Linked DNA regions of Caenorhabditis elegans. The protein of the gene in region 2 interacts with the protein of the main gene of each other region in a pairwise test. Each region holds a gene or a part of one and is shown on either strand. Other genes may lie near its edges.

Region 1 (4,567 bases), on a different chromosome or scaffold from region 2:
TTTCTCCGTTTCCCGTGCCACGTCATCAATCAAAACTTCTCGGTGTGTATGTCACATATCCTAAGAGGGCCTAATAATTGCCTCCGATTCCATCCAATTTTTGGCGGCAGCGGAGTCCAGGTCCACTTTCATTCTATTTTCGCCCTCTCCTAAAGCACACAATTCGTTTTCTAACGTTTTTTTTTTCCTTTTTTCCTTCTTCTATTGGGTCCACTCCACTTCATAATGTGTTGTTGCTGGGGTGGAAGGAAGGAAGAAGAAGCTGTCCCAGTTTTCTCATTTATTCTATTTTTCCTTCATTCCATCTGGCTCCTTATCTCTTTGGGGTTCTCAAAATTAAAATTTGGCTTTGTTTCGTTCCTTCCCAAAGAATTTTCGCGCGTTATTTATTGAATTTCCTTGGGGGCTCCGCGAGCACTTTCGCCTCATTAGATGGAAAAAGTAATGTGTGGCAGGGTGATGTAGTCATGGATTTAGCACTTGGAGATTTGAATTTGGTGCGGTATTTTTAGAAAACTTTTTTCAAAAAGTTTTTTTGAAGTTTTTAATAGAAAAATATCAAGCTTTGCAACGTTTTTTCACCAATTTAGAGCATTTTTTCTTTCCTGGAGAAAATTGTTTCTCATTGAAATAAACAAATTTTGATAAAGCTTAGAATTTGCTCTTTGATTTTGGAAAAAAATTATTTTTTTTCGATTTTTTGGAATGTGTTCTTCTGTTTCAATAGTTCGAGTTTCGGCTAATTTTTAAATTTAAAAAAAAACACTCGAAATTAACTTTCAATTTTAAAAATTCCATATTAAAAAAAAACAATTTTTAGTAGAAATTCGTAATTTCAATTAGCTTTTTTTTTCCTAATTTCGCTGCAGCGCATTTTCTCAGTAGTATTTTTTGAATATTTTGTGCTGGAGTTTAAAGGATTTCATTTTCTAATAATTAGCCATTTGAAAAACATATTATTGACGAAATTGATAAATAAAAAAAAATATTTAAAAAAACTAAAACGCGAAGACATCTGCGGGCTTTTTTATTGGTTCTAAAATTTAATTTCTCCCAAAATTTTTTACAGACAGGGAACTATTTAAAAATAGATCTAATCCGACCAAAAATTAAAAAAAATCAATAAAACACCCCGCCCATATAATGGCTCTTAACTGCATTAGCCTCTCCCTAAACTCTCAGAATTTGAGTCCATCCGTCCACTACTACTAGTCCTTCCTATTCTTCTTATGTTGCACTTATGTTCCAAAATCTTCAATTTCTTGCTACATTTATCCCTTTCTTTGACCACTCTCTCTCATCTGTTTTTCATTTCCCTATTCCTATTTTTTGAGGCTTTTCCTCCTCCCGGCTAAACAAAAAAAACTATAAATTGAGCAGCAAATTGGTTTTGTCTCTCGCTCACTCAGCTGACCTCGTCGAACATCTCTTCGAAAGTTTTTGTTTTTGTTTTCCTCCGCTTCCTATCTCTCTCTTTGCCTGTCTCTTCACTCATTTTTAACTATTTCAGACGGCTTCTGTTCCTTTTTGCACAATAATGACATAAGCAGCTATGCGTCTCGGATCGAATAGTTACGATGTACAGAGGACGGAGGCAATTGGTCAAACGCCTGTCAAGACACCGCCTCCAAATCAGATCCGATGTACAGTTACCTTCCTTGATAGCACTTCTTATCATTTTGAAATTGAGGTGAGAGGTTTTTTTAATGTAATTATTATTTTTGAAAGCTTGGCTTTATGAGAAAATTTGACGTACTTGTACGGAAAATTTGTATTTTTTTCAGCTATAAAAGAAATCTAGGAGATGATTCAAAAAGCCTTTGACTGACAAATTATATTGTTTATGATTTGGAGAATTTTTCGTAAATTTTCCAAAAATTTGTAGAACATTTTTATTTGGAAAAATTAAAATTTGAATTTCGCGCCAATATTTTTGAAAAATCAAAATGGGGCTTCTTCATTGCGCTCACTTCTGTTGAGGCTGAGCAAGCTGTATATTATAAATTTGAAAGTTTTAAAACTTTTTTTAGAAACTCAAAGTTTTCCGCATATTGTTAATTGATAATTTTTCATGGAATTTTTTTGAAAAGAAAATATCAATTTTGCAAAAAAAATAGTTGTTAATCGTATAAATTTCCACATTTTCAACTAAAATATCTTTTAATTGACTTCATTTTTGTATTTTTGTATTGAATCAAAATATATTCCAATTTGAAATATTCAAGATGGTATTTACTTGGCATCAACAACTTTCAATTAGCCGGTTGTTTTCGATTTCAGTTAAGAAAAAAGTGCAGAAGAAGTGCATTAAATTCTTATATGATTCACCAGGTCTACTGTGCCTACCTACATTCACGTAGGCAGGTAGGTAGGCAGGCCGCAGGAAACAAGTTACTCAATTTTCAGAAAAACTCCCTGGGAATCGTACTTTTAGAAAAAGTATTCAACTATTTGGAGATTATCGAAAAAGATTATTTTGGCCTCGTCTTCATTGCAGTCGATAATTCTAGTGCTCAGCAGAAGGTTTTTTCAACTTTCCAAGGCTTTTCCTACAATAATAATTTCAGAAATGGCTGGATCCGTCGAAAAACTTGCGAAAACAAATGATTTGCCCACCGTATCATTTGTTCTTCCGTGTCAAATTCTACGTACGGGACCCGAATCGTCTACGAGACGAGTTTACGAGGTTCCAATTCTATCAACAAGTTAGGCAGAATTTGGAAGAAGGAAGGCTGCCGTGTAATGAAGGATCACTTGCGTTGTTGGCTAGTTATGTGGTACAAGGTTAGTGAGAAGGTGTGCCTGCCTGCCTACGCCTACCTACGATCCCTTTGTAGGCATGTGCGTAGGCATTATTGTGCCTTCTATAGACTATAGTTGCGCATATGATCTGATGTTTTTGGTTTGTAATTGCAAATTTTGTATACACCATATTTGACGAGCAAATTTCAAATGTTTAATGCATCACAATTGACGCGCAAGTTTCATATGATGCATTTGGTCCGTAATTTCAGTATTCGAATGCACCATGTTTGATGAGAAAATGTTCAAATTTCAAAGATTCTGCTCTGCTCAGTGTCATGGTTCTAATGCATCAGATGTGACGCGCAATTTTTTTTTGTTCACAGTACCATATTCCACGCAAAATCGAAATTTGATAATAAAACTGATTTTTACAGCGGAAGTCGGAGACTTTGAGGAGAAAACTCATGGAATGTCCCGGACGTGTCTGTGCTACAAAATTCAATTTGCTACTCTTCCAGATGATTTTTCGGATCGCGTCGCAGAACTTCATCAGCTTCATATGTAGGTTTTTTAGGATTTTATGGAAGGCAGGCAAATCTGTATACCTACATCAAATGCCTTTTATCCTGATTTTTTTTCAGCGGTCAAACCCCTGACGTAGCAGAGCAGAACTTTCTTGACCACGCGCGGCGTCTCGAAATGTACGGAATGGATGTTTATGACGGAGTGGACGCAAATCATCTTCCGATCGAAATTGGAGTAGGAGCAGTTGGAATTAAAGTATTTCACGAGGGAATCAAGATGAATGAGTACGCGTGGGTACGAATAAGAAAACTTAGCTTCAAGAAAAAACAATTTCAAGTTTTGGTGGCTAATGAGGATGGAGTGGTGAGTTTTTGGCTATGGAATCTGTGAAAAAATTCGCCTAAAAAACTAAAAGTATATAGCACAATTTATTCCAATTTTGAAAATTAGGCAATAGGCAGGCACGTAGGCATAATTTTAAGTTTGTGCAAAAAAGTATGACGTATTGGTGCGTTATTTGCCTTGTTTTCAATTAGAACCTTGATGCCTCATATTACACACAAAAAAAAACAATTAGATTCGGAGAGACTTTATGAAAAAAAATTTCTTTTTTTTAAATTATGGCTGAACTTTGACGTACAAATTTCTAATATTCGGTTACAAAATCCTAATTTCAGAGCGAAACAATCATGATCTTCAACATCATGTCCGCGAAAATCTGCAAACTTCTCTGGAAATGCTGCATCGAGCAGCACACGTTCTTCCGGCTGAAAACTCCTCCAAAAACGCCGCAAAGGAAGGTTTTCAACTTTGGATCGAAATTCCGATATAGTGGACGAACCGAATATCAGACACTTGAGGAGAATGAGCATCGGAAGTCAGCTGGACATCGGAATTTTCATAGGTGAGAATTTATCTTTGAAAATTGATTTAGAAATTAAAATTTTGAAAAAGCCACCCCATAGCTGGTCGTGGAACAGTTTTCATGGCAAGGTCACTCCCCCCCCCCCCTTTACAGTAACCCTGACACTGCTCAAAATTCAAAGTTTTGTCTATTTTGATCTAATTATAGTTTGCTGTATATCCAGTTGTCCCTTTTTGTTTTCGTTTTTGAGAAAACAAATTATGATCCCTATAAAAAATTGGGCCCATGACCACGTTATTCACATATTTTTCTAGAAATGAGCCTTGAAAATTCCGATATTCTCAATGCAGGCGATAGGTTAATTTATTTTTAAAAAGTATAAAAAATTCAGCGCAACATGTCAACATTTTCCAAATAATAAGTTGCAAAAGT
Region 2 (4,670 bases):
AGTTCGTGTTACGGTCAGTTTGTTCATTTTACAACGATTTTACAATCATACAATGATGTTTCTAAAATTAACGTGAGATCTGCGAAAACACTACACATAAGTTTGATTTCTTTGAATAATTCAGCCTCGGTGCATTATTTGACTATGATTTCCAAAACATCATAGAACACAACTTCTAAGCTTATTGAGTATAGGATAAATTAAAACTAATCCCCAGCTCATCATAATAACTCTTGATAAAATGTTAATTTGAAAAATGTTAACTTTATGTAGTTGTTTTCTTTGAGAAGTATTTAAAACAGCTGCAAACATCTACAAAGGGCAAAATTTTGTCAAAAAAAACTTTGAACCCAAGCGTAAATGCAAGTGACATTTTCAATACTCTCAACCCCGGAAGTCCTCAATTTAGTATAAATACTTTTGCAGTTCAAACATCTTTTGAAGAAAATTTTGGAAGTCGAGAAACGTTCATATTCACATGACTAATGAGCCCACAAAGTATCAAATAACCATAAAAGAACTAACTTTTGGAGGTGGAGCGAGGTCGACGGCTTCCGTTGTCTGAAAGATCTCTTTTTTTGTTTTTTTTTGTTGTAAAGTTTGTAAAATAAAATGAAATTTAAAATCTATGCAAAAAATTGAAGTTACCTGTGCAACCACATTGACATTTGCAAGTATCTGTATAGCAAGTGCAAGCACCGAGAACATGTGTCGAATTATTGAAGGGGGTTTCTGAAAAGTTGACAAGCTAGAAAAAAGAACGGAAACAAAATGAAGTTGTCTTTGTTTCCCACGCGCTATCCACACTATGACTATTTTTCATTTTTCCTGTCATGAAAACCCACAAGGATTTTGGCGTGATTGCGAATTAATCGATGTAAAACGATAATTTATTTAAATCGAAATGGTTAATGGGTAGTGCGGAAAATACAAATAAATTTCAGTACTACCGTAGGTTTTTTTTTGTATTTCTACAATTGTTACAATTTTTGGTATATAAAAGAGTCTCAGATGTACAATAGTCTTAAAACAACCGGCGGTAGTGATTAAACAAATGGTTAAGACAATCAAGGAACTGTTGGTTGAGCAGATGCAACCAGCGTTGCTCAAGACTCCATTTTTTGTCCATTATTTCGCGATTTTTTTCTTATAGTTTTTGTTCCAAAAAATTTCGGAACTCATTTTCCTATCATCCATGTACATACTAATGGGCCATAATGTGTTTTTTCGATTTGGATTCAAGCATCTTCTCCCTCTCAAAAGAATGGATTTAACAATGAGCCGCCGATGTGTAGGAAAAAAGTTGAAGAAACGAAAAATGAAAGGAAGATTCTATGCCACCGCCACCCCTATTACGTATTTTTGCGGCGGCGACGTGTGCGTAGAAATTCGAGATTCTTAACGGGAGGAAACCAATAATGGGAGAAAATGGGAAAAAAAAGAAACATTACATAACAAAAACTGTCTTATAAAATTAGGTGGGAGGAAAAAGTTGTCTGGTGTATTTGTAAAGGATTTGGATTTGTGCACAAAATAAAAGGCAATAAATGACTTTTTACAAAGTTATTGTAAAGAATGTTCTAATCGGTAGGTAAGTTATCTCAAAAAAGGATGGGATCATAAAAAAATAATCTCCCTATACAAGTTGCTGACACCTACTTGGCTTCTTGTACTTATTCAACAAAAAAAAATACTTTGGAGTTGGGAGCAGAGCATGAATCAAGAATAATTGATCTCCGAATTTAATTATCACAAAAAAAAAGAAACCAAAACGTTCAAAAACACCCAGTTTTGTGTATACATTTTTCAAATTTGGCAGTTCATAATTTTGGAAAGTGTTTTATTCACATGGCGTTATCACGTAACGGTTGTAATTGTGTAAAGTAAGAAAAAACGAACATATTATTTGAAAGTGAAGAATTGTACAATCCCTAAAGGAATCAAAAAACTTTTTAAAAGTGTATGTATTTACTTCATTTTTCTTCCTCAAAAATAATAGTTTTTGTAACAGTTTTGATATTGGTTTAATTGGCAACAATTTTGAAAATGCACTCCACGGACAATTATTTGTATTTTTAAAAGTCATATTTTTTTTTTGCTCAGCGCAGATTTACTATTTTCGATTAGAATTCTGAGGTTTTCATCATTTCTTTTTTCAATGTGTTTCATTTTACATTACGTTTCAATTTTTCATTTAGTAGTGACACTTTACCTAACAGTAACTTCCAATTATATATGTTGTTAGTATAAGTTTGAAATTTACTCGAGGTCAACAGTCTAACATTTTTGAAAGTTTGAAATTTAGGGCAATATTTGTGAGATGAGAGAATGGAACGGTTTTCGAGGGCTCATTATAAGTTTCAATGAAAGTGAGTGAGTTAACTAATAATAGTCTTTATGTCATGAGTCTGGGACGACGTCTATATTTTTCAGTTAATAATTGTCGCCATTACCAGCCCAATTGTGATGGGCTTTCCCCATTTATTTATTAAAATAAACTTTCGCTTACCGGTACCATGATTTGAGTATTGAATAAAAATAAAGTTTTCAACTCTAGAAATGGATTTTAAGAGAATGGAAAGGATAAGAGGGCGTTAGTCTTGTGTGACACAACACAAGCAGCCGGGGCACACGGGGGCAGATTCGGTTAACAAGGCGAGAGGCGAAACACGATCCGTGCTATTCTAATGAGCACTATGAGTATGGAAACTCTTGTTCCCTATATACATTCATATGTGTCGTTTGCATGTCTGTCGTTTTCTGAAGGGGACCGCCGGTCTCCACCCATTTCGTCGACCTCTAGCCAATTTTCGGAGCAGTAGGAGTAAGCAGCAAAGAAGGAATCCAAATCCGGGCGGCGCCGGAAGGACCTGCCTTCATCTGCTCCTCTCCTCAAACGCTACATCAGAAGCCGGTCGCACGCGACAAAAATTTCCATAATTCTCAATAAGGGCGCACTTTTATTCTTTCTAGAAGCAAGATTTGCATGTGTTGGAAAATAAAAACATACCTTACCCGAAATGTTTGCCTCATGAATGTGATTTTTGTTAAAGAAGTGAATACTGCTCCATAAGAATTTCTGATAACAGATAGATATCAATATTGAAGGTCTCCAAGTTCTGCAAAATCAAAAAAAAAATTACATATAAACGGTAGCTAAAATCAGTACGATCAATAAAGTGATAAAGTTATCAATCTGTTTCTAATTGTTCAGAATTGTTTTAAACGAGTCATCTTAATTCTGATACATAAATCACGTCTTAATCTCTATGAATGTTACCAGTGCATCAAATACAAAATTCTAAAGTGTTGTCAGTTGCAAAAAAACCACTAACTCAAAAATATGCATAAGGAAGAATTAATGAAGCGACCAAGAACCAAAAAGACAGCCGGAATCTGCCCTTCTGACGCGGAAGATAACTCATTAAAATGTGGACTCCAGAGCTGGCCACAGAATAGAAATAAGTGGGAATAGAAAAGAATGAGATCTTAGATTTATAACTCGTCATTTTTTTTGCGAAATTCTACTGAGGTGTGGTAGTGGTGATACGATGAATGCGATGAGTAGCAAGCAGAAAAGAACTGAGCTGGAAAAAACGGAATGGATGAGGAGAACGGCACTTCTATCTAGTACTGAATTTTAAAGTTGGAAGACGAAGAAAACAAGTGATGATGGTGAGAGTGAACAACAGACAACGATTGGTACAGCTTTTGTCGGCACCTCAATTTTTTTTTGATCTCTAGGCATCCGGAAATTTTGAATATTCGTCGAATTCAGTTTTATTCTAATGCGTATTGTGAACAATAATCTGCTGAATTATTTAAAACATTTCAATATGGTTTGGATTTTCAAATCAGATTACTGTTTTCACTTTTATTAAACCGACTGTGTCTTTAAAAAATCTGAAAATAAATAAACTACAATTTGCAAAATTCTTTTTACTGAACCAAATTTTACAATTATATCTAGAAGATGTATGAGTTTCTGATATTCCTCGAAGATGAAGGTTCTTGACTTGCGACCTCCGTATGATTAATGTTAATTTTTTGATTGGGAATCAGTTCTAAATGTATAAACGTAACTACGATGCTGTAAAAAATTACCATAAACTTGTGAAAAAAAAAAATTATTTCACATACAGTTTTCAGCCTAATTTGCGGGAAAAAATGAATCGTCCGTTAGACGATTCATTTTTTTAGATTTCTAAAAACCTTCGCAATTGCTGTGAACAAAAACAAAAAAAAAGTTTATAAAATTTTTAAATAGGAAAATAAAAGTTCAATAAAGCATAGGTCAAACTATGATGTCGTTTCAACTCTGTCATTGAAGACGCCTTCTAGTGGAGGATTTTACAAGCAAAACTTATGCTGAAGAATCAAATTTCCGAACAAAAAGGAGAGTCAAGCGATGTCCATTCAGAGTCCATAATGTTGCGGAAAAGAGCTTGCGGCCTCCTTTTTTGCAACTGGGGTTTTAAATTTCTCAATGAATTAAAAATGAAATTAATGCGAGTTCTGAAGCTATTAAGTAAGTAGAGGGAACAAGGTAACATAATATATGTTGGAGACGTAGCAAAAGAAAAACACACACAGAAGGAAAAGAATACGAGACAAAATGAGAAGGAAGAACAGGCAGACAAAAACAAGGAGAAAATCCTTAGGAAATGCGG
Region 3 (4,613 bases), on a different chromosome or scaffold from region 2:
CAAGAAGGTGGTTGAGCGCATAAAAGCAAATCCAAATCGATGTGAAATGCTTGTGATCTCTGAAGAAGGAGCTAAGTGGTACAATGAAAATAATGTTCAAATCACATTGGACCTTCCAAATATCGAACGAGTTTCTCCAATGGTTAGTCAAAATGTAGATTTTATCTTTACAAAATTAAAAAAAACAATTTTGTGTGACTTTTCTCATTCTCCTAACTTTATTTTAAATTCTAAAATTTTTAACATGTAAGATAAAAAAGTCTTCATTGTCGTGAAGAATGCAATATTCGTTTTTGACAGTAAAATTAGAAACATTTTCCATTTGTCTTATTTCCCTTTGTTGCGCCTAAAATCCCTTATGTTACCAATTGTCAGAGGAACTCCTGTCATCCGTCCAACAATTCTCCCCCGCCAAGTTCGTGGTACGCACCCACGTCATATTCACAGGTCAGTCTTTTTGCCTTTTCACATAATTTTCTCCTTTCTCCACTTTGTTTATTCCTCATTGTTATTTTGTAATTTTCAAACAGTATCGAATATCAAATAGTATAGCTGTAGTTGCTCATTGAGCATCATTTGTTTATTTGACACCTCTAGTTGCACTTGATCAACCGAACTTCGTATATCTACTGAGTCACACTGAACCATTTTTATGCGTCATTTTCATATGTTCTCACACTAAAAAAGGATTGACAAATATTTCGAGGTAGATAGACAGGGAGTCGATAGACAAGAAATGACGTCATTTTAGATGAAAGTTATAGGAACAATGAAAATTAAAAATTGGTAATTGAACCTGGGGAAATTGGAATTAACATTATTAATGGCTATGCAATTTTAGAACTGAAATTTTTAAAAAGTTATACAATATCCGATCTCAAATGAAGAAATGGAAATAAAAATTCTTGCAAAAAAATTGAATAATTTTTTTCTGTTTCATAAATAGTTAAAAGACTTATTCATAAATTTCAAAAATTCGGGAATTGCCTTTTCCGCACAAAAAATGTTTCCTCATTAAGGAAAACCCGTGGTTGGTTTGGAGACTATCTTGAAATTGTAATGCACATATTCTGTCATTCGATGATGCTTTATATAGTTTAGGCGATTGAAATCTGATTAAAACTTTTCTTTAGAACTCCATAAAAATATTTGATTTATTGCAAAAGTTTTGTAAACTTTTCTAAGTTCCTTGTAATATCTAAGTATTGCTAAGACATCATTTCTAGTCATCCACTTGTACTTTCTCTCCTCCAATTTTTGATTTACAATCTGATTCTCCATGCACTCCAAGACGTTCTCAACCATTATTCTTCAAACGGAACAACTTTTCGATGATTCTCGAATCGATGAAGAAACGGACGACACAATAGCGTTGGTTTTGTGTGTGTGTGCCTGTTTTGTATGTTAATATTCAATAAAAATATGAAGAAGATGGAAAAAGACGGGGCAAAGAATTTATGGGCCAAACCATACATATTCTATGCATTGAGGCACGAAGAGGGACAAAAAAGTTATATATCTTGACAAACAAAGGAATACCAAAAAGGCACTTTTGTTTGATTCACATTCCTTGGCTCTTCGGCACATCACTACAGTATTCTCAACTCTTATTCTCAGCTAAGAAATTTCAATTCTAAATCTGCATATTGCCTTCTTCAAACATGGATCGCAATCCATCTGAACCAGAAAGAATAGATTGGAAAAACCCAATCACGTGGATTTCGTATCTCTACACCTCTTTCGTGTACTATTTGTGGTTGATCTCCTCGCATCTACCACATCTCCCACAACCACAACGGATTACCGATGACAAATCAACGGAGCAGATCACCAGAGACGCAGGTATTCCGCGCACTGAGATAGTAACACGAGGAGATGCTACGCAGACAGTTAGACAAGTAGCGGGTCTAGGGGACCCAGCGCCAAAGGATTCATCATTATTGCCTCCCTCTTCGTCGTTCGTCTATTGCAACAACTGTCTAACACCTCATTCGTCTCAGAGGACTTGTTCTCCAGCCTACGTCTCTACTCTCTCAAGACAAAAGTCTTTGACGTTGCTAAAGAAATTGAAGAAACCCTCATCATCTGCTTCTTCCACCACTACCACCACATCATCGACTGTATCTTTCCGTGCACCTTCACGTGCATCATCAACGATCTCCGACGCTTCTACCATCCGCCCATCTGAACTCATTGCTATCGTTCCATCTGGTAGCCACGTGTTGCTGCGAGTTCCGAAACTTGATTGGAAAACTGAATCAATTCGAATCAAAAGAACTAGAATGAGTGATTGGATGGATGCGGAGCAACGGGATGTGATGAGACAATTTGATGAAGTTATAAGATCAGAAGAAGAAGACGAGAGGACCTCACGAAAAAGGAACGGAATCTTCAAAGATGGATCTGTAAGGAGTATTGAATCATTGGAATCTAGGAGTCGGGTGAGCACACGTTGTGATTTTGAAATATCGACTCAAAAATAAAACTTCTTTCTAACAATTATAAATTTAAAAGTTAGAGAATTATCTATTAGTATTGCACCCCCTTACTGTAGGCAGCTCATAACTGATTTTTCATTGATTTTATTATAATTTGACAACTTTCTACTTATAATCTATTTTACTATAATTTTTTAGTTAATAATTTTGTTGATGTCAGCAACTGTCTTTAAAATGAACCGATAGCTCCAAAGAAACGATGGAAAATTATATTTTACGGACCAAAGTTGATCCAAATTTTTTGCTGACAATTGTTCCTGTTTATTCAAAATTTAAAAATTTAAATTACACATTTTTTGGTTTGGGCTATAATTCATCATAAAACCATACTTCTTTAAAACGTGAAATCTCAACTTGTTTTACAGCATTTCAGATAAAATGCACACCGTAGAATTAATTGAAATGGTATTTCAACTGGTTTCTTTTCTTTGTTTTTCATCTTTCCCATACTGGTACGCGTGCCTATCCTTACCCAAATTCTTCAAAAACAATTTGATAAGGATTTCAGTATTTTTTCTTTAAATTGATTAGAGACCAACTTCGCCAAACTATCAATTGGGTACTATGTTTTATAAACTATTCCAACATTTGTTGAGGTATTCGTCATCCTCTTCAACTTTTTTCTTCAATATTTCCATTTTCTCCAAAAAGAATTTCATTTTCATATAAATACGAGTATCATTTCCTCTTCTTCATATTTCTGACTCATCTTTCCTCCATCTTCTCTTGCATACATTTCCAAAAATTTTGCCAACTTGCCAAGTAAACCGCAAACATACGAGAAAACTGTTAAAACTGTGTCTGCACTCTACGCACTCTCTCATTCAGCCTCTTGAAGCTTATGTATGTTTTGTTAAATGTGTGTTGTGGCATTGGCAAGAAAGGAGAGAGAAGGTAGATCATTTTTTATTGAGAAGAAAATGACAATGAAGAAGACAAGTAATAAAAAAATATGTTTAGTGCGAGAGAAACAGAACAAAATGATGATTTATGATCAAAATTGAGACATTAGAAAGTTGGAAGAGGAACTGTAAATTAAATGAGAAAATGGGATACAGAGATATGATAGCAGATAGATTTATGAGGTATTGATACGGAAAATAACATAAATATTGGAAGACTGGCGGACTGGAAATTTGCACAGTTCAATGTTAGGAAGATTGAAATGAGTGTAGAAAAACAACTCAAAGAGGAGTGTAAATTAATCAATAAATAGGTTATTATTTTTGACAATTAACACTTCAATAAATTGTGACATAATTAAAAATATGATGAAACAGAAATAGTTTTGGAAGACTAACGAGTTACCAGCATTCCAGTGTTTAACAGTATATTACAACTCGATGAAACATTCGAAAATTCTAAAATGGAAAATCGATTAAAATTTTTTACTCCTTTAAGAAATCTTGTTCGTAAGCCATATTCTCAGAGAGAACCAAATTCAAAAAAGTTGTCTGACTACAGTAATCCGCAACAATTCCACTTACCTATCATTCGTTACAAATCTTCCTCTTCGTTTCTTTGTCCTTTAATAAATGACCTTCATTTGAATATATCTAATTGGTCCTCCATTAGACACCTTCTTCCAATTGTTTTTTATCCTCCACCTGCCATGTCTTTATTTCAATCTGTCTGTGTCTCGTGCTCTCTCTCTCATTCAATAGAAAGATAGTTAACGAAGCATGACGCATTGGAATATCTTGCTTCACTAAAAGATTGCAACATTCCAATTCTATTAATTTTTACAAAAAACCAACAATCTTCTCCCATTCTTGTCATTTGTCATGTTTAGACACTTTCTCAAGTATTTTACTAATTTTCTTCAAAAAGTACACATTCATCAAACGTTGTATGTTCAATATTCTTTTCCTTCAAACAAACTTTGAATCTCATAAAATGTTTTGTGGTTTCGGAACATGTTAGAAATACAAATAACTTGTCGGAAAACTTTCACAAAACTTGAATTTTATTTCTTGGCATTTCCCAACATTGAAACGCATCTTGTAATCCGATATTTTTGGGACTTGTTTTTTATATTCACTTTTATTCGAAAGAATATCAGAAATAATATACATTAGACTATTTCAAGTGGCGTAGGATATAGGGTTCCTTTTT

What was found.
Region 1: the proteins of mgl-1 (region 2) and ptp-1 interact in a two-hybrid assay, tested with the Caenorhabditis elegans proteins (one study listed by BioGRID).
Region 3: the proteins of mgl-1 (region 2) and nrfl-1 interact in a two-hybrid assay, tested with the Caenorhabditis elegans proteins (one study listed by BioGRID).

What each region holds. Positions count from the first base shown.
Region 1 is NC_003281.10:3,589,218-3,593,784, forward strand, and holds the start of ptp-1 (Tyrosine-protein phosphatase 1), read left to right. Parts: upstream 1-1,506; 5' UTR 1,507-1,552; coding exon 1,553-1,690; intron 1,691-2,406; coding exon 2,407-2,523; intron 2,524-2,567; coding exon 2,568-2,784; intron 2,785-3,179; coding exon 3,180-3,306; intron 3,307-3,386; coding exon 3,387-3,633; intron 3,634-3,947; coding exon 3,948-4,174; intron 4,175-4,567.
Region 2 is NC_003284.9:9,973,274-9,977,943, forward strand, and holds the start of mgl-1 (G-protein coupled receptors family 3 profile domain-containing protein), read right to left. Parts: upstream 3,034-4,670; coding exon 3,016-3,033; intron 2,956-3,015; exon of another isoform or gene 2,519-2,955; coding exon of another isoform or gene 2,510-2,518; intron 733-2,509; coding exon 649-732; intron 562-648; coding exon 526-561; intron 1-525. UniProt on the Caenorhabditis elegans protein: G-protein coupled receptor for glutamate. Ligand binding causes a conformation change that triggers signaling via guanine nucleotide-binding proteins (G proteins) and modulates the activity of down-stream effectors.
Region 3 is NC_003282.8:9,119,820-9,124,432, forward strand, and holds the start of nrfl-1 (Na(+)/H(+) exchange regulatory cofactor-like protein nrfl-1), read left to right. Parts: upstream 1-1,552; 5' UTR 1,553-1,661; coding exon 1,662-2,441; intron 2,442-3,458; exon of another isoform or gene 3,459-3,859; intron 3,860-3,985; exon of another isoform or gene 3,986-4,057; intron 4,058-4,613. UniProt on the Caenorhabditis elegans protein: Scaffold protein that connects plasma membrane proteins with members of the ezrin/moesin/radixin family and thereby helps to link them to the actin cytoskeleton and to regulate their surface expression.